Linked DNA regions of Macaca mulatta. The protein of the gene in region 4 interacts with the protein of the main gene of each other region in a biochemical or structural test. Links are inferred from orthologs where the notes say so. Each region holds a gene or a part of one and is shown on either strand. Other genes may lie near its edges.

Region 1 (4,137 bases), on a different chromosome or scaffold from region 4:
CATTTTGTAGATTACTGACATGTACAACAGCTTTATGTTTTAATGTTAAGTTAAAAATGGGCAAGGGAATGCAGAGCTTTTTGAAATTCTTCTGGTGAGTACATAATCAAAAATGTGTAAGGCCCACAAATTATTTTCCATAATCTCAGGAGTGAGTTGAAAATGGCTTAGAAAGTCTTGATTGAAGCAGACTCAAATGTGGATTAAAGTCTCCATATGATAAATACACTTAGTCTTTCTGAAATAATTCCAACTGGAACTTCAGTTGCTATGGACAGCCAAGTCCACCTAAACCAGAAGATGCCTCAGCTCAGTCCATTGTGTGCAGAATGCACTGGATGCTGTTTCCACAGAATGATGAAGGACCAAATAATCTTTATGGGCTCTGCCTCTGGTTGGTAACTGTCTTTGATCTACTGGAAGACAGAAAATCAGATGAGCTCTCCCAAATCCATCTCTTACCCTGGTATGGATGGCTCTCAGATAAAGTTGCTTAAAGTTACTACTTAGAGAACGTTGAGGAAAATATGGCAGTGCAGTTAGACTCGAAGATGTCAGGTTTCCCTGAGAATGGCACTGCAACTCAGACACCTGCCCTGTGAAATCAAAGGCTATAAAGGAGGGATTTTTTTAAGTAGCCAACTCCACCATACTTATTAAAAAAAACAACAACCCAAAACTCACCAAACAAAACAAAAAGTATTTCAATACAGAAAATTAATAAAGCAATTTCAATCTTTAAAATGGTAAAAATAAACTGCAAAGGAGAACTGCATGATTTTTTTCACATACCCCTACATTTCCTTTCACCTCTTACTTTCTTGATCAGAACAAAAAGTAAAAATAAATAGAAAGATTTCACAAAGTTTCGAATTTTTTTTTTTAATGCTGGACTTCTGCAGCTATAGTAGAAGATTGAAAACCCGAACCTTTTTACGTGTAAAGTGTATGGCAGATGGAGGGTGAATAGGGCATATTGACCTTTTCCAGGCAGGCTGAGCAATGACCGTCCTCTCTGTATGGGTTGTTATCAAGATTTCCTCTGGCCCACGAGCAATGAAGCAAATGTCTTTCAGTAAATGCCGCGCAGATAGGCCACGGTTAAAAGTCATGCTTTTGGGTCATGGAAATCCCCGAGCGGGTTTGCCAGGCCACTGATTAAGAGGAAGTGTCTGTGGTTATTACCCCTGGAGTTCCCCTAAGTCCTAAAAGGAAAGCACCAGTGCACATGCAAACCACTGGGAGGAGTGCGGAACGCCTGCTACGGGTAGGGGTGGGGATTTGGGTGACGCATTTAAAGGACAGCGTGAGACTCGCGCCCTCCGCACGGAACAGGCCGGGCGACAGGTGTCGCTTGAAAAGACTGGGCTTGTCCTTGCTGGTGCATGCGTCGTCGGCCTCTAGGCAGCAGGTGGGCGAGGAAGGCTGGGGTGTGCGTGCGTGTGTGTGTGTGTGTGTGTGCGCGCGGGCAGCAGGTGGGCGAGGAAGGCTGCTGTGTGCTTGTGTGTTTGTGTGTGTGCGTGCGCGCGCGCGCCTCCCCTGGGGTAAGAGGTGTGCCAGCGGGTGGCCGAGGGGTGCTCAGGGCTAGAGCGCTGCAGAGGTTGAGAGTCAGTGGGTGGGGCGCAGTTATCAAACGTCAGGGCCCAAAGGCAGGCTCTAGATAGGTTCCAGGTGCTCAATTTCTATTTTACCTTTGGAGTGAGCCAGTGGAATTGTGCAGCTGTGTCATTTTGATTCGGTTGCCAAGAGTTATCACTGGGCCTTTGCAGGTGCCAAATAAATTTCAGGACCGAGCCTAACACAGAGCTCTGGCACAGGAAGGAAGTAAAGTGTTTAATGAGCAAATGGAGGCATGTTTCCAACCTGTGGTAGGAAGACAGCAGTTTTTGGTTGTCTTCCTGGTGATCAGCATGGAAACCCAGAAGTGCTCTTACTCTGATCAATACAGTGTCGAAGGCATGTACCTGATGCTAACGTAACAATAATATTAACTATTGACTTTATTTGCTATTATGTATTGCTAACATTAAGTACTGCTACCTGCTATATGCTAGGTTTCTCTCTGAAGAATTTACATGTATTTTTCACGTTTAATTATCATAATCTTAAGGAGCAGAATTATCTCCATTTGACAGTGAGGAAACTGAGGCTCTTGGAGATTTACTTGTGCAACGTCATGCTTCTGGTTACCGGGCTGCTTGGTACTGAGCACCCCAGATGTCTGACTCCAAAGCCTGATCCTAATCAATCACTGAGTAGACTCTGTGGTCATTAATGTAAAATTGATAGAAGTACTGTGGTCACTCGGGGCTCAGTCACATTTGCTAACATTTATTCCTTCAACGGGAAGTCTTTGTGTCTACCCTGTATGCCAAGCTCTGCAGATGCTATGAGTGGGAGGGCAGGTACAGAGATGAAACATATTAATAGCTGCGGTTCTAAAATACCTTACTGTCTAGGGGGAGGCAGAAAGAAAAGGCACACTTGCCCTCCAGTGTCATAGAAATGGATGTGCCGCGTGCCCAAAGGGTAGGGATGCCCAACAGCCCTGGGATTGGGGAGGTTGCTTTCTTGGTAGGTTAAATGGAAGAGTCAGAAGACGAAAGGTTGGGGACTGAGCCAATCTGAGAAGGAGCCACTAGAAATGAAAGAAGAATCCCAAGAGCTTGGTATCAGAGAAGCCCAGGGAATGGGACATTTCTAAGAGGAAGTGTGCCCCAACGTCAGATGCAAACATTTCCATTTGTTTTGGCAAAAAAACCATTGGTGTTATTAATACTGAGAGCAGTTTTAAGTGATGCTGACTTAATGAGTAAATGGGAGAGGGAAAATGGAGACATTAACCGTACACACATGTCCAGTTTGCTTGGCTATGAAGGGAAGGGGCGATACAGGGTAGTTGCTACAGTGGGAAGTGGGGTTGAAAGGGGATTTTTTTTTTTTTTTTAGACGGAGTCTCACTGTGTCACCCAGGCTGGAGTACAGTGGCGCAGTCTCAGCTCACTGCAACCTCTGCCTCCTGGGTTCAAGCGATTCTCCTTCCTCAGCCTCCCAAGTAGTTGGTAGTAAAGGTGCACGCCACCATGCCTGGCTAATTTTTTGCATTTCTTTTTAGTAGAGATGGGGTTTCACCGTGTTAGCCAGGATGGCCTTGATCTCCTGACCTTGTGATCCACCCGCCTCAGCCTCCTGAAGCGCTGGCATTACAGGCATGAGCCACCGCACCTGGCCGAAAGAGAATTTTAAAAATTTCTTTCATTTGAGAGTTGAGATAGATTTAAGCATGGTTGTTATGTGGAAGGAAAAGGGCCAGTTGAGAGTGAGAGGAATGAGAGTTGACGCAATGAGGGAGATGGGATTAAGAACAAGACTTCTGAGGCAGTAGGAGAGTTTAGGATCCCATAAGGGGGCAAGTCTTTAACTGAGGCAGCAAGTAGGTTGTGAGCCAAAAAGGCTTGGATATGAGAATGTGAGGCGGTTCCTGCTCAATGATATCTCTTTTCTTTGAGAAATAGAAGGCAAAGCAATGGACTGAAAATGAGATGGAGTGCAGTGGAGAAATCTGAGGAAGGTGTTGAAGGTTTAGAAGGGTGCATAGGGCAGTGGGCTAGGGGGCTGAGCAGGGCGAAAAGGAATTGCTAAGGGGTGGCAAAGGAGTCTTAAGTGATGCTGGTCCCAGTCTGCAGGGCTGCATCTAGGTGTTGGAAATTGTTAGGACAGAGGCTGAAGTGATCTGGGGTTGACATCTTGGCATATTTTTGTATATTTATTGTATAGTTGTTGCCTGAATTTCCACAAATATATACCTTGCTGGAGTGCAGTGGCATGATCTTGGCTCACTGCAACCTCCACCTTCTGGGTTCAAGTGATTCTCCTACCTCAGTCTCCTGAGTAGCTGGAACTACAGGTGCGTGCCACCACACCTGACGAATTTTTTTTGTATTTTTAGTAGAGACAGGGTTTCACCATGTTGGCCAGCCTGGTCTCAAACTCCTGATCTCAAGTCATCTGCTTGCCTTGGCCTCCCAAAGTGCTGGGATTACAGGCGTGAGCCACCACGCCTGACCTAAAGCTTCTTTAGGATAAGATTTGTGTAAGGGGTTTGCAAACTCAAATGGAGGTGATATAAATGAGAAA
Region 2 (4,237 bases), on a different chromosome or scaffold from region 4:
CATTAATACAGGGCAATCCTATTTCACCTTCTGAAAGAATGTAAAAGAAATATTAAGACAGTGTTCTCCTGCTCTAACTGCCAAGGGTGGCTCCAGACATTTATGCCATTAGTTTATAAATCTCTTAGTTGGATCCAAGAAGTTAAAGCAGGAGGCTTATCTTGTCACAGAGTTTTATACCATATTAACATTCTCTTTATAACAAAATAACAAATGTCAATAAAAACAATTGAGAGCACCAGACGATCTACTCTACATATCAACCAGGGTACAGAATAACCATTCTGCCATCAGCAAATATCAGACTTTCATTCAAGTAAGACCTGGTACTATCCCTTAAAACAGGAAAAAAAAGAAAAAAAACACCTTCCCACAACCTTCCATTAGATAATTTTCTTTAAAAGATTCACCATTTCTAGAAAAATAATGATTTCCAAAACAACAGCTCTGTTTCATCAAAATGGAATGGGCCAAACATCTGGTAACAAGAATGTTTCAATATCCATTTGAAATAATTATCTAAGAATTGTGAAATTCAAATTTCAACAACATAAAATAACTACCAAATCACAAATTCTGTTCAAAATAATACATTTCATATAAAGCACTTCTCTGGATTTATGCCTGAACACATCATAGATGAAGGTACACCAGTTTTTAAAAATGTTGTGCAAAAATACATTTTTATAGAAAATAGACTACCAGGAATGAACAAATTTACACTGTGAGAAATCAGCTTGCAAATTAAGTAGTGCTCACTTTATACAGCAAATTATAAATAGCAATAAAATCACCCAAAGCTATCATGAAACATCATTTAGGTGGCCCAGCAACCTTCAGCTCCGAGAAAACATTCAAAAAGATGATTAAGGCATTACACCTACAATAAAATCTACTAGCAAGTTTGAAAGTGCTATTACCCTGATTAGAGTTCATGTGATTCTCCAAACACAAGTTATGTATGCAATTATTCCCAGGGTGTAAGGTTTTGAGACATTTCAAGAGCATGCATTTTGTTCAATATACATTTTGGATAGGGATATGGCCATAGATTTGGCAAGTTCTTCGTCGCGTTTCCTTTGCACTTGAGTTTGTTTGCACCAGTTGTCGTACTCTGGGTTAGGATAGGAGTGATCAAATACAGCATCATAGTGTCCGTTACTGAGCCAACTGAGCCAAATACTAGGCCTCAGGGAATCCTCTGGGCCCAAATAATGAATCATAGTAGACACCGTGGGGCTCTCCAGCCTCCCTCCAGTAGTTAAGTGGATATTCACATTCAGCATCTGCCCCATGGCCAGCAATTCCGGGTACCCAGCCCATGCCCCGTCTTGGGCAGCAGCGATGATAAACTCCCCCACGTCGCCCTCAATCAGGGGGCTGAAGTGGTCGAGATGGTCGGCGATATAGTGCACCGTCTGCTCCCTCAGCTCCCGGTGCAGGCTCTGGTCCCCATACACCGTCTTGCTGACAGCTCGGTAGAGGCAGTTGCCGTCGGGAATGATGTGGAATCGGTACTTATTCCTCTGCCGCAAGTACTTGTCCTGCTTCTCCACCTCGGCCAGGTACAGGGCCAGCTTCTCGTCTCTGGGATCTGACCTGGAGACGATCACCGGCTCCGCCGCGCTGCTCGGGGCGGTCTCGATGCTCCGGGCTGGGGGTGCCTCGGCCTCTGGGTCGGGCCTCCGCGCCGCGTCCCCACCGGGAGCGTCGCAGCGGTCGCCGCCCCTCTCCCAGCCCCTAGGGCCCCTTTCCACCAAATGCTCTTCGCCCCACGGACCGGGGTCGGGGCTCCCCGGGGTCGGCGCGGGGCCTCGGTGCTTGGCGGCGGCCAAGGCCTGGCGGTGCTCGCTCAGTCGGAAGTTCCGATCGGGCCCCTCCCGTGTCGCGTCCAAGCCCGCGGACTCGGGGCAGTCGGGCCGCAGCAGCTCCTCCAGGAGCCAGGCCGAGGAGCCCCGCCGCGGCGGGACCGGGGCTGCGGGCGCTGGGGCCAGCAGGAGGCAGCGGCCGCGCGGGGCAGCGGCGGAGCCCGCGGTGCCGGGAGCGGGCTCGGGCCCGTGCAGCAGGAGCCTGTCGGCGCCCAGGGCCCGCACGGTGATCTGCGCGGTGGACGTGTAGTGCGGCGGCAGCGGCGGCTTGCAGGACGCGCCAGGCGGGCCGGCGGCGGCAGAGGCGGGCGCGGCGGCCCCGGACACCACCTCGAAGCAGGAGGAGAAGGCGGGCATCTTGGCGGCGGGGACAGCGGCGGCTTCACGGTGCTCGGCGGCCGCGGCGGGCTGGCACTCACCGGTCTCGGGCTCGGGCGCGGCGCCGGCGGCTCCCGGGGGCTGCAGCGAGACCTTGAAGGTGGGGGCGGCGGCGGCGGGTGGCGCGGGGGCGGCGGCCGTGGGACCCGGTGACCCGGAGGGGTAGTGGGTGCAGACGCTGCTGTAGAGCTGCATGTCCCTGCCCGCCGCTCGGCCCCTTATAGGCGCGGCGAGCCCCGGAGCGGGGGACACACCCTCCGGGCCCGGGGGAGGGGGCCGGCGGAGCGCGGTGACCCAACGGCCCCAGAATAGAGATGAGCGCAAGGCCGCTGGCCGCCGCGCGTCAGCAGCCGCGAATAGCGCCCGGGTCCCGGCCAAATTCCTGCTGCGCCACAGCGTGGGGGGGGCGGGGACGGGACGCGAGCTCGACTCCTGCCGGTGCGCTCAGCCCGCAGACCCGGGGCGTCGCGCCCGCTGCAGCTGCTCCGGCCTGCGGCGGCCGCTGGGGACTCACGGAGGAAGCCGCCCGCCTCGTTGGAGCGCGTCCTGCCGGCGAGGAGGAGCGCGGTGCGCGCGGAGGCCCGGGAGGCGGGGCCGCGGTTGTTTACCTCAGGCCTCGCGGCCGCGTCACGTGGACTCGCTGGAATGCGCGGCTTGTCTCGGCGCCCGATTCAGCCGCGTCGGCTCGCCCCGCCCACTCCGGCCCGCGCCCCGCCCCCTGCTCCGCTCCGCCGACGTCACGGGCGTGGCCCTCGTCGCGCGCGCGGGCGGGGCGAGGCCGGGGGCTCGGAGGCCTGAGCAGTCCGGGAATTCCTGGCTGGGCCTCCCGCCCACGTGACTCCCGCAGACCGCTTCCCCGACCTGGGCACGGGTTTCTGCGCTGCACCACTCTCCGCAGCGGCTGCAGTGGGTGCTGCGGGATGGGCGCTTCTTGGAGCGAGTTAGCATGCTCGGAAAGCTTGCTTGGCAGGAAAGCTTCTGGCATGGGTGTGGAGAACAGAATGCTGTTTGGCCTCTGCATGGTCATGGGCTACCATCCCTCCTTGCATCCACTACTGCCTCTTTTATCTTTTTAGAGATGAGGGTCTCACCTATCTCCAAAGCTGGAGTGTAGTGGCGCAGTCCATAGCTCACTGAAGCTTTGACCTCCCGGACTCAAGCGATCCGCCCACCTCAACCCAGGTGTGCACCACCGCCCCCGGCTAATTTTTTTTTTTTTTTTTTAAGGCGAGGGTCTCACTATTACAGTTGCCCAGTCTGGTATCGAACTACTGGCCTCAAGTTGTTTCCCGCCTTGACCTCCCAAAGTGTTGGGATTACAGGCCCTAGCCACCAATCCTGGCACCACGAGTCTTTTCCTCTTTTTTTTTTTTTTTCTTTTCCTTTTTAAGGCAAGGTCTTGCTCTGCCTTCCAGGCTGACTGCAGTGGCGCCATCATGCCCCACTGCGACCTCCACCTCCGAGGTCCAAGCGATCCCCCTTCCTCAGCCTTGCCTTGGGCAGGGATTACAGGTGCCCAGCTAGTTTTACCACTGCGTCTTTTCTATGCACTTCCTTGGACCCACCTGTTAAGGGTGAGTCCTCTAGTGGATTCTCCTGCCCTGCGAAGACAAAACCAACTTTTCTGCACCTCTGACCTATGTCACTTGGCAAATACCTGCTTGGGCGAAAGCAAGGAAGCCTTTTAGCCCTTTATAAACAGCCTTTCTCAGAATACCAAATGCAGTATCACCTAGGGCCTTTTGAAAATAGATGCGATTGCTAGCCAGAGGTCAAAAGCGGTAGAGAAAGTCGTGACCTGCCTTCTGGGGCAAGATAGGCTATAGAAAATACTTCTACCGAGCCTTTTTGTAATACCCACCTTTGTAAGGGAAAGCCAGAGGTAGTGGGAGACTTTTGCTGTATTCTGAGCTTTGATCAAATGCTAAATTAACAGGCTCCAAACATTCAAATTGAACCTAGAGGTTGTCCTAACATTTTAGAGATAGGGA
Region 3 (4,326 bases), on a different chromosome or scaffold from region 4:
TAGATGGTATAGCCTACTACATACTTAGGCCATACAGCATAGCCTATTGCTCTGACCACTATCATATATGCAGTCTGTCATTGACCCAAATATTGTTATGCAATGCATGACTGTAATAATAATACTTGCCACATAGGTAAAAATACTGTCATTAATGGTGTAGTAAAATGGTAACTGGCATAGTAACACTGTACAGTGGATACAATTTTTAGAAGGTTTTGAGGAGAGAGTTTCAGAACTGTTCTCCATTGATTTGCTTACAAAGATATTTTCATTTCCCACCAAAGGTTTTGGCTATGAAAACCTTTGCAGAAACAATATTTCAGGAGTTTTTCCCCCTGTATTGTCAACTAATTTTTAGTAAGCATATGACTTTTTGTATGTATCATCCAATTGATTTAAAAATGAATCAATGAATGTATTTATTGATCGACTGCCTCACTTCACAAAGGAATGTGAGGAAGGACACCCAACTTGGCATTTCTGTGTTTCTATTTGGGTCATGCATTTTTTCTTGCTTTCCAAATTGAAAATGTGGTGGATGCAATAGATAGGCCTTTAGTATCAGCCCTTCCCTCGTTTACTACACCTTTTTGTGTTTCTCAAGCTGGAAAGCTATAAACTACATGCTCTAGACATCCTTGCTGCTAATATTCTGCATGTGAAATTGATCTCACCAATTGCACGCAGCAGAGCAATATTTGCAGGTGCTGTTTTCATGCTGCTGGCAAATGCAGCCGTGGAGACCACGGTTTTTTGCAGCAGTGTTCCAGTGTCCTGTTAATTGTTCTGTCGGTGTTGAGAGGTTGGGGACGAGGCATGGCAACTTCCTGATGCCATCTTCCTGATTGTGGACAGGAGCCAGTATGGCAATCTTATCTTTGTAGTCATTCATGGATGTTCAGCCCTTCTCCAGTCTTTCCAATCATTTCAAATGTCCCGAATTCCCCCTGACAAATCCCTTTTTGACTAGGAGTAGCTAGCTGAGTGCTGTAATGAAATTCTGACTGACAGATTTGTAAACTTTTTGCGGACAGGAACCCTTGATATAAATAAATACCTTGCATTTTAATGGAGGGAAGCAGAGGGATAAACAAGTGAATAAGTAAAAAGTTTTAATAATATGGTGATACGTAAAAAATAAAGCTGGTTAAGGGAATGGGGAGTGCAGGAGATGAGTGCAGCTGTGTTGCCGTTTTAATCAGGTCAGAGAAGGCGTCTCTACCAGGGTGACTTTTGACCTGCCTCTCTGTTATGTCAATTGTGTGTAGGGCCCTGGTGTAGTTACTGTGTTAAAATGCAATGATTCAATGACTCCATTACTTAGATACCCTCTAAGTGACGCTACTGTTGTCCACCTCCCCGTGATTGAATTGTTTACCCACAGTAAACATGGCGGGAAGAGCTTCGATCCGACCCTTGAACGCTCAATAAAAATGGCGACAGCACTTCCTGTGCTTGCCCTCAACAAAGATGGTGTCAACACTTCCTGTGTTTTCGCCTTTAACAAAGATGGTGCTTATGGGGCAGATTCCCTAACAGTCAGGATTCCGGTTGCAGTTTTTCTCCCCCGCCCCAAAGATACGTGGTTGCAGACGTAAGTAACAGGAATCCATTTTTTCTTGAAAGCCCTGCATTGTAGCGTCTGCGACCTGGGCCCTGCGGGGGCTTCCCCGCCCCACTAACTTGCTCTGCATTTCCGATCCGGGCCAAGGCTGGGTGGCTGCGGTAGTGCCGGAGGCCCGCTCTCCCCTTGATCCGCTGTTAAGTTCATTCCCAGCACTCCCTCTTTAGCGGGTCAAATTGCGGCAGAAACCGCCCGTAGTCTTCCTGTTTGATACAAGGATTTCAGCGGCCGAGGCAGAGACTTTTTAAAAAGTTCCCAATGGGCGCTCACCGCCAAATGTGAACACCTCCCCCTCCTCACCTGTCACCTCCTAAACTTTGCAGGGTTGCGAGGGGGAGTGTGGGATCGGGTGTCGCCCAGCCGTGGTCGTACTGCCCGGGTGTATCTGAAGCCGCATATGTCATCCCTACCTGCCTTCCCGGTCACTTGACCTTCACTGCCTTACACACAACCAAGCCACAGCACATGGGTGCAGGGGTGGTGGAAATGCACCTTCAAATTGTGCCTGGCTACTGACCGGCGCTGGGGTGTTTTAAAGAAAAAAAATCCCATAAAATGTCCCATGCATGTGTGGCCACGACAGTGTTGTGCTGGAGATTCGGAATTCTTAGTGGGAAGGAATGGAGTCTGTGACTATATATTGTGTAAGGTTTATTGTAGACTGGGCACAAACAACAATTTTCTTAAAGGTGATGGTGTAGAGGACTTTTAACGAAAAGAGCCTTAAACTCTGTTCCTGCTGATTTCTGTCCTGCACTCCTGTTACTGATCAGGTTTTGCAAATACTTGTGATCAAAAAAGGGACACCTGCGCCCACTTTGGCAGTTTCTGCCGTGGTGGTGGTGGTGGTGCAGGTCTGATGAGGGCAATGTTAAAATAAAACCACGATTTCTTCTCCAGCATGTTAAAATTAATGCTGCTCTGTAATCTTCAGATAAAAATTGCTTTTTCGGAAGGGTCTCTGACCCACTTTTTTTTTTTTTCTTTTTCCAAATTTCTTTATTGAACGAGGAATTGAGCTGGGACCCCACTGTGTGAAAAGCAGGAACAGAAAAGATGATTCATCTTCAGTGTTGTTCATTATGTTAGGAAACATTCAAAGTTAACTTGGCTTGGCTTAACTCGTGAATTAAATACCATGACCTGGCACTCTGCCACGGTTTGAAGATATGCCTGACCTGAAGGAACTTACATTGCAGTGACACTGTCTTTCGGGCCACATCAGCGTGTCTGTAATTTGAGCTGTGATTTCGGCTCTTTCCAGGGAGAAATGGAGGCCAGAGACAAGCAAGTACTCCGCTCACTTCGCCTGGAGCTGGGTGCAGAGGTGTTGGTGGAGGGACTGGTTCTTCAGTACCTCTACCAGGAGGGAATCTTGACGGAAAACCATGTTCAAGAAATCAATGCTCAAACCACAGGCCTCCGGAAAACAATGCTCCTGCTGGATATCCTACCTTCCAGGGGCCCTAAAGCATTCGATACATTCCTAGATTCCCTACAGGAGTTTCCCTGGGTCAGGGAGAAGCTGAAGAAGGCAAGGAAAGAGGCCATGACCGACCTACCTGCAGGTAGGCCTCAGAAAGATCACTTCAAACCAGCTCCAAAATGTTGTAATTATGCCCTTTGCTTTTTGGTTTGTTTATTTGTTTGTTTGTTTTTGAAACAGAGTCTTGCTCTGTCACCCAGGCTGGAGTGCAGTGATCTCGCTAGGCGTGATCTCGGCTCACAGCAACCCCTGCTTCCTGGGTTCAAGCAATTCACTTGCCTTCGCCTCCCGAGTTGCTGGGAATACAGACTTACGCCACCACGCCCTGCTAATTTTTATATTTTTAGTAGAGATGAGGTTTCACCATGTTGGCCAGGCTGGTCTCGAACTCCTTACCTCAGGTGATCCACCCACCTCAGCCTCCCAAAGTGCTGGGATTACAGGCGTGAGCCACCACACCTAGCCAGAACTCCGCCCTTTGGATTTGAAGTTGGGATGTAAGGCAGGACAAGGGTCAACGGTTGATGAAAGTGGGTAAGGAGTTGGGACTGAAGGGACATGACATTAGAGGCATAGGATCAGGAGGTGGCATTAGGAAGTGCAGGGAAGGAAGAATGAACCGTGACTGGGAGGTGAGGGAGGGAGCTCAGAGAATGCATTTAGAAATGCTTCCAGGGAAACCTGGCATGTCACTTGGGAAGCATGTTCTCATCAGAGAGTCAGGTCATATCTCAGCCGTTGGCATCAGGAACCATTTGGAAAGTGCAGATGGGAAAGCAGGCATTCGGCCTACTGACAAGTGATTTGTGAGGTGCCAGAGCTACCAGCTGGAAAAGGTCAGATTCATGGAGTAGGAGACAGCCTCTAGGAAGGAAAGCCCTGTACCTGTCCCCTGGGCTGTCCCATGTGGCCAAAGGGGATTATTTTGAAGGCTGACTTAGTTTGTTTTTAAAGGTTATTCGTTTAAAGTGTCCTTTTTAGTTTAGCTTTTGTTCAGACACCGGAGTATTTAATTTTGCAAAGAGCAATAGTTTGGGGAGGGTCTCAGTTTAATTTGAAGGAGAATTGGAAGCTGGAGAAGAGAGAAACAGTTCTGGTTCTGTTAGCCTGGCTTGTAGCAGGAAGAAGATGTGATATGGAAACACTTGCTTCTTCTTAACTTCCCTTGACTCTGTTTTACAAAGATGGAGGGGCAGAGAACTGGACTGGGAAA
Region 4 (4,214 bases):
TATAAAATTGAAGGAGGCTCTGATTCTCAGGGCCACGCAAATGCAGGGCTGGCACCTATGAGTGTGGCCCTCCTGAAATGTTGTGCCTTAGGCACCTGGCTCTCCCTAATTCAGGCCCTCAGGAGAAAGCCCTAATTCTGGTCAGTTCGCAACAGGAGGACACGGCTTCTGGGAGACACTCGGTGCTCCAGAGAGAGGCATTTGGTCCGTTCTCTTCCTCTGGACGTCACCGTGCCGACATGAAATGCTTCCAATTGCGTCCAGCCTAGGATGGAGCGGGGTGGGGGGGATATCTGGTGACATTACGAACTGCTGCATCAACTCCCCCGAGTCCCTGCCTCTGGACCCCCGAGAGAGGACACAAGGAGTGTCCGGAGCCCATGTGACTCAGTGTCTCTTCCCATCACTTCGCGGGAAAATGGGGCTGCTTACACCGCACCGCAGCCCAAGCACCTGTGGCTGGAGAGGGGCTCGGGCGCCAGGAGTGAGGAGCCTGGTTCTGGGCCCGGGACCGGTACTAGTTAGTGGTGGGACCTGGAACAAATGGTACTAGTTAGTGGTGGGACCTGGAACAAATGGTACTAGGTAGTGGTGGGACCTGGAACAAATGGTACTAGTTAGTGGTGGGACCTGGAACTAATGCTTTGCTTCTAAGTGAATCCCTCATATTCATGACAAGAGGCGTGGAACACAGACCCATGGGGCCTTCCCACTGGAACATGGAGCTTGGCTGTCACCCGACTTCGCTTCCTGAGGTAGAAAAGCCCAGGGTTCCAGGCTCTGTCTCCTTTCCCGCAGACCCCTTGTTTCTTGGCGCGGAGGCCCTGGGCCCCGCAGGCTCCCACCCACTTCTCTGGGCTCAGAACTTCTCTGGGTTCAGAACCCGATCCCGAAGCGGCCATGGTGCTGCCGGTGGCCGAGGCCGGGCGCGCGCCTTGGGAACCTGGCTGGCCTCAGGCTGGCGGGAGCATTCGCGGACCTCGCCCTGGGCCGGGAGGACTGGGGGACCCTGGCCTGCCCCTTCCCCTAGCCCTGACCTCGGCCACCACGCGCTGGTCCCGCCAGGCTCCGCCTGAAGGCAGAAAGCGGGGCGGGGGGGGGGGGGCGCCCGATCCTGCGGTATAAAAGCGGTGTCCGCAAAGGCCCTAGTGGGAGTCCGCGGCGAGCGCAGCAGCAGGGCCGGGTCCTGCGCCTCCGGGATCGGCGTCCAGGCTCGGAGCGCGGCACGGAAACGGCGGCGGCGCTGGACCAGGCGGTAGGTGCGGGCGTCCCCGCGCAGGGCGCTGCGGGTGGCGAGGCTGGGTGCGCGCCTCGGGAACCTGGCTGACCTCAGACCGGCGGGAACATTCGCGGACTTCGCCCTGGGCGGGGCGAACTGGGGGGACCCTGACCTTCCCATGTTCCTAGCCCTGCCCTCCGCCACCGCGCGAACGCGCGCGCCTCCCAGGATAGTCCCGGCAGGCGCAGCCCCAGTCAGGCGGCTTGTCAAGTATGGGAGGAGCCTAACAATCCCAGACAGTTTAAAAGGCGGTGCCCGCCAAGGCCCGAGCGGGAGTCCGCGGCGACAGCAGCAGCAGCAGCAGCAGCAGAGTCACGTCTTGGGCCCTGGGGATCGGCGTCCAGGCTCGGAGCGCGGCACGGAGACGAGGTGGCAGGTGAGGGCGTCCCCGCGCTGGGCCGGGGTCGGGAACGGGAATGGCGAGCTTCAGGTCCCCCGGCTGCCACCGAAAGATGAGACCTGAGGACAGGAGAGGTCGCTCATCCAAGAGCCCCGGGGAAGCGGTGGTGTCTCGGCGGGTCAGGAACGGTCTCTGGGGGGTCCCCTGCAGCGCGCAGCCGGTTTCCGCCTCCGCAGCTCCCCGCCAGCGCGGACGCCGCCCTCCCCCACGCCTCCTCGCTGCCCTTCTCTGGCCGAAGCTCTCCCCTGCAGCCCCTCCCCACCTGCCAGCCCTGTTTTCTCACTGCTCCTCTCTGCTCTGGGATCCGCAGGATGACGTCTGTCCCGGTACTTCTCTTTCAAAGTCACCAGTCTCCAGTTCCAAATCCGAGCACTCTTACCCATCCTAATTCTTTCAATAATTCAGCGAAACGGATGGGGCCCGTCCTTCCCCGGAGCATATTTCCAGGGACTGTGAATCCGCGAAGCCAGGCTCAGCCGTCGCCTGCAGGGCCTGCGGTCTGTGGGGACCGCCAGCAAGATGAGGAGTCACCTTCGGGACGAACGGTCGTGCTGGGGAGGGTTGCGCCGGCGGGGTCAAGGGAACCTCCTTTAGGGTGGGAATCAAGCCTCCAGGCCGCGGTGTTTGAGGGTGAGTAGAATTAATCCCGTGATGGACATGGGGCCTTGTAAGGGGGACCAGGAGTTTGTGAAGAGGTGACTTTGGGAGGGGTTCAGGATGGCCAGAGGTGGAGGCTGTGACCTGAGCGAGGCTGGATCAAGGGAGGGGGCAGGTGGAGAAGAAACCGTTTTAACAAGGTGGCTTTGAGCGGATCCTAAGGGTTCTGGGAGATTTAGGAGGAAGGCCAAGAGGATTAAGACACCGCTTTCTGAGGATGTTGTGTGGCTGTGGCATGGTGGTGGCTGAGGGAAGCGGGTTGTCTTCATTGTCCAAGGCTCTCCAGTGCTTTGCGTGGCGTTTTGGGGAGCACACATGAGGTGTCCCGACAGTGAGGAGTGGCTCTAAGGTGAGCAGAGGCTCGGGAGGGGGCCTGCGCATTAGGCCAGGCACAGGATCCGAAGTGGAAAGAAATGTGGGCGAAATGTGGGCGTAGAGGGCAGGCCTTGGGGATGGGTGTGGGGGACGAGGGGGATGGAAAGGGGTCAGGGAGGTCTCCCAGGCTCACCTGGAGGAGTGAGGGTCTCATTTCCAAGGGCACTGGGAACTGCAGCCTGGGGGTGGGGGTTCATTTGGTTTCAGACCTGTGGCGAAGAGACCCACCCCCTCACATTCACACTTTGGCTTCCACTAGCTTCAGAGGTAGTACTAGCTCTTTGTTCTCGCTGGTTTTCCTTCCTCACCTTGGGCTGTTTCTTGCCTTTTCCATTCTGGTGTTCTGCAAGGACCAGTTCCTTCGTCTCATGTACCATCTACACTCATGGCTTTTGCTGGGAGTAATGAGTAAAGCTCCCAAATAGATGTTTCTGAGTTAGAGCACTGAAAACAAAATGAAGCAAAAACAATGCATTTCCAATCTTCCAAGATCACATGATGTCCAGAGGACAGTGATGGGCAATGACTTTTTGTCTTCCCCATTAGAATGCAAGTTCCACAAATGGAACACGGAGATTTTTATTTATTTATCCTTTTTTTTTTTTGAGACGGAGTCTTGCTCTGTCACCCAGGCTGGAGTGCAGTGGTGCAATCTTGGCTCACAGCAACCTCCACCTTCTGGGTTCAAGCAATTCTCCCACCTCAGCCTCCTGAGTAGGTGGGTCTACAGGTGTGCGCCACCACGCCCAGCTAATTTTTGTATTTTTAGCTTCATCATGTTTGCCAGGCTGGTCCGTAACCCCTGAGCTCAGGCAATCCACCCGACTGAGCCTCCCGAAGTGCTAGGATTACAGGTGGGAGCCACTCCACACAGCCAGAACAGAGATTTTTTATGTTTAATTCACAACCGAGGCTTCACTGCCTAGAACAGATGCTCAGTAAATATTTATTGAAGGAATGAATTCCTTTTTGTATCTCTTGTATCTATCACCAGATACTCTTGTATCTAGTACCTATTTGGCATACAGTAGAAAGCTTTGTTGAGTGAATAGCTCTGCCTTTCGTCTTTTTTGGTATGTATACATCTTTTAAAAAATAATGAATAGACTTTTAGAGCTGTTTTAGTTTACAGCAAAACAAAGCAGAAAGAAAATATCCCCTCCCACAAACATCCTGGACTGTATAGCCTCCCCTACCATCAACATCCTGCATTAGTGTGGGGTATTTGTTACACCTGATGAACCAACATAGATACACGGTTATAAAAATGAACCAATATGGATAAAACATATACATTATCAGTCAAAGTCCAGAGCTTGTTAGGTTTTGCTCTTTGTGTATATTCAAGATACATTTGACAAATGTATAATGAGATGTACCCAACACTGTAATATCAGATTCCACTGCCCTAAAAATCCCTTGTGCTCCACCTACCTATCCCTCCTTCCCTGCAAATCCCTGGCAACCACTAATCTTTTTTACTATCTCCACAGTTTTTCCTTT

The links.
Region 1: of the proteins of RIPK1 (region 4) and BIRC3, one has a biochemical effect on the other in vitro, tested with the Homo sapiens proteins (5 studies listed by BioGRID, with this or other methods). The link is inferred for Macaca mulatta from reciprocal best matches to the Homo sapiens genes RIPK1 and BIRC3.
Region 2: of the proteins of RIPK1 (region 4) and OTUD1, one has a biochemical effect on the other in vitro, tested with the Homo sapiens proteins (2 studies listed by BioGRID). The link is inferred for Macaca mulatta from reciprocal best matches to the Homo sapiens genes RIPK1 and OTUD1.
Region 3: the proteins of RIPK1 (region 4) and CRADD form a complex in vitro, tested with the Homo sapiens proteins (2 studies listed by BioGRID). The link is inferred for Macaca mulatta from reciprocal best matches to the Homo sapiens genes RIPK1 and CRADD.

The regions. Positions count from the first base shown.
Region 1 is NC_133419.1:103,188,048-103,192,184, forward strand, and holds the start of BIRC3 (baculoviral IAP repeat-containing protein 3), read left to right. Parts: upstream 1-1,296; 5' UTR 1,297-1,411; intron 1,412-4,137. UniProt on the Homo sapiens protein: Multi-functional protein which regulates not only caspases and apoptosis, but also modulates inflammatory signaling and immunity, mitogenic kinase signaling and cell proliferation, as well as cell invasion and metastasis.
Region 2 is NC_133414.1:24,895,037-24,899,273, reverse strand, and holds the start of OTUD1 (OTU domain-containing protein 1), read right to left. Parts: upstream 2,839-4,237; 5' UTR 2,442-2,838; coding exon 999-2,441; 3' UTR 1-998. UniProt on the Homo sapiens protein: Deubiquitinating enzyme that specifically hydrolyzes 'Lys-63'-linked polyubiquitin to monoubiquitin.
Region 3 is NC_133416.1:100,999,355-101,003,680, forward strand, and holds the start of CRADD (death domain-containing protein CRADD), read left to right. Parts: upstream 1-1,501; 5' UTR 1,502-1,597; intron 1,598-2,891; 5' UTR 2,892-2,897; coding exon 2,898-3,195; intron 3,196-4,326. UniProt on the Homo sapiens protein: Adapter protein that associates with PIDD1 and the caspase CASP2 to form the PIDDosome, a complex that activates CASP2 and triggers apoptosis.
Region 4 is NC_133409.1:180,192,721-180,196,934, reverse strand, and holds the start of RIPK1 (receptor-interacting serine/threonine-protein kinase 1), read left to right. Parts: upstream 1-1,397; coding exon 1,398-1,655; exon of another isoform or gene 1,656-1,738; intron 1,739-1,855; exon of another isoform or gene 1,856-1,989; coding exon 1,990-2,005; exon of another isoform or gene 2,006-2,178; intron 2,179-2,385; exon of another isoform or gene 2,386-4,214. Other genes in the region: uncharacterized protein LOC144340588, read right to left, coding at 860-1,399. UniProt on the Homo sapiens protein: Serine-threonine kinase which is a key regulator of TNF-mediated apoptosis, necroptosis and inflammatory pathways.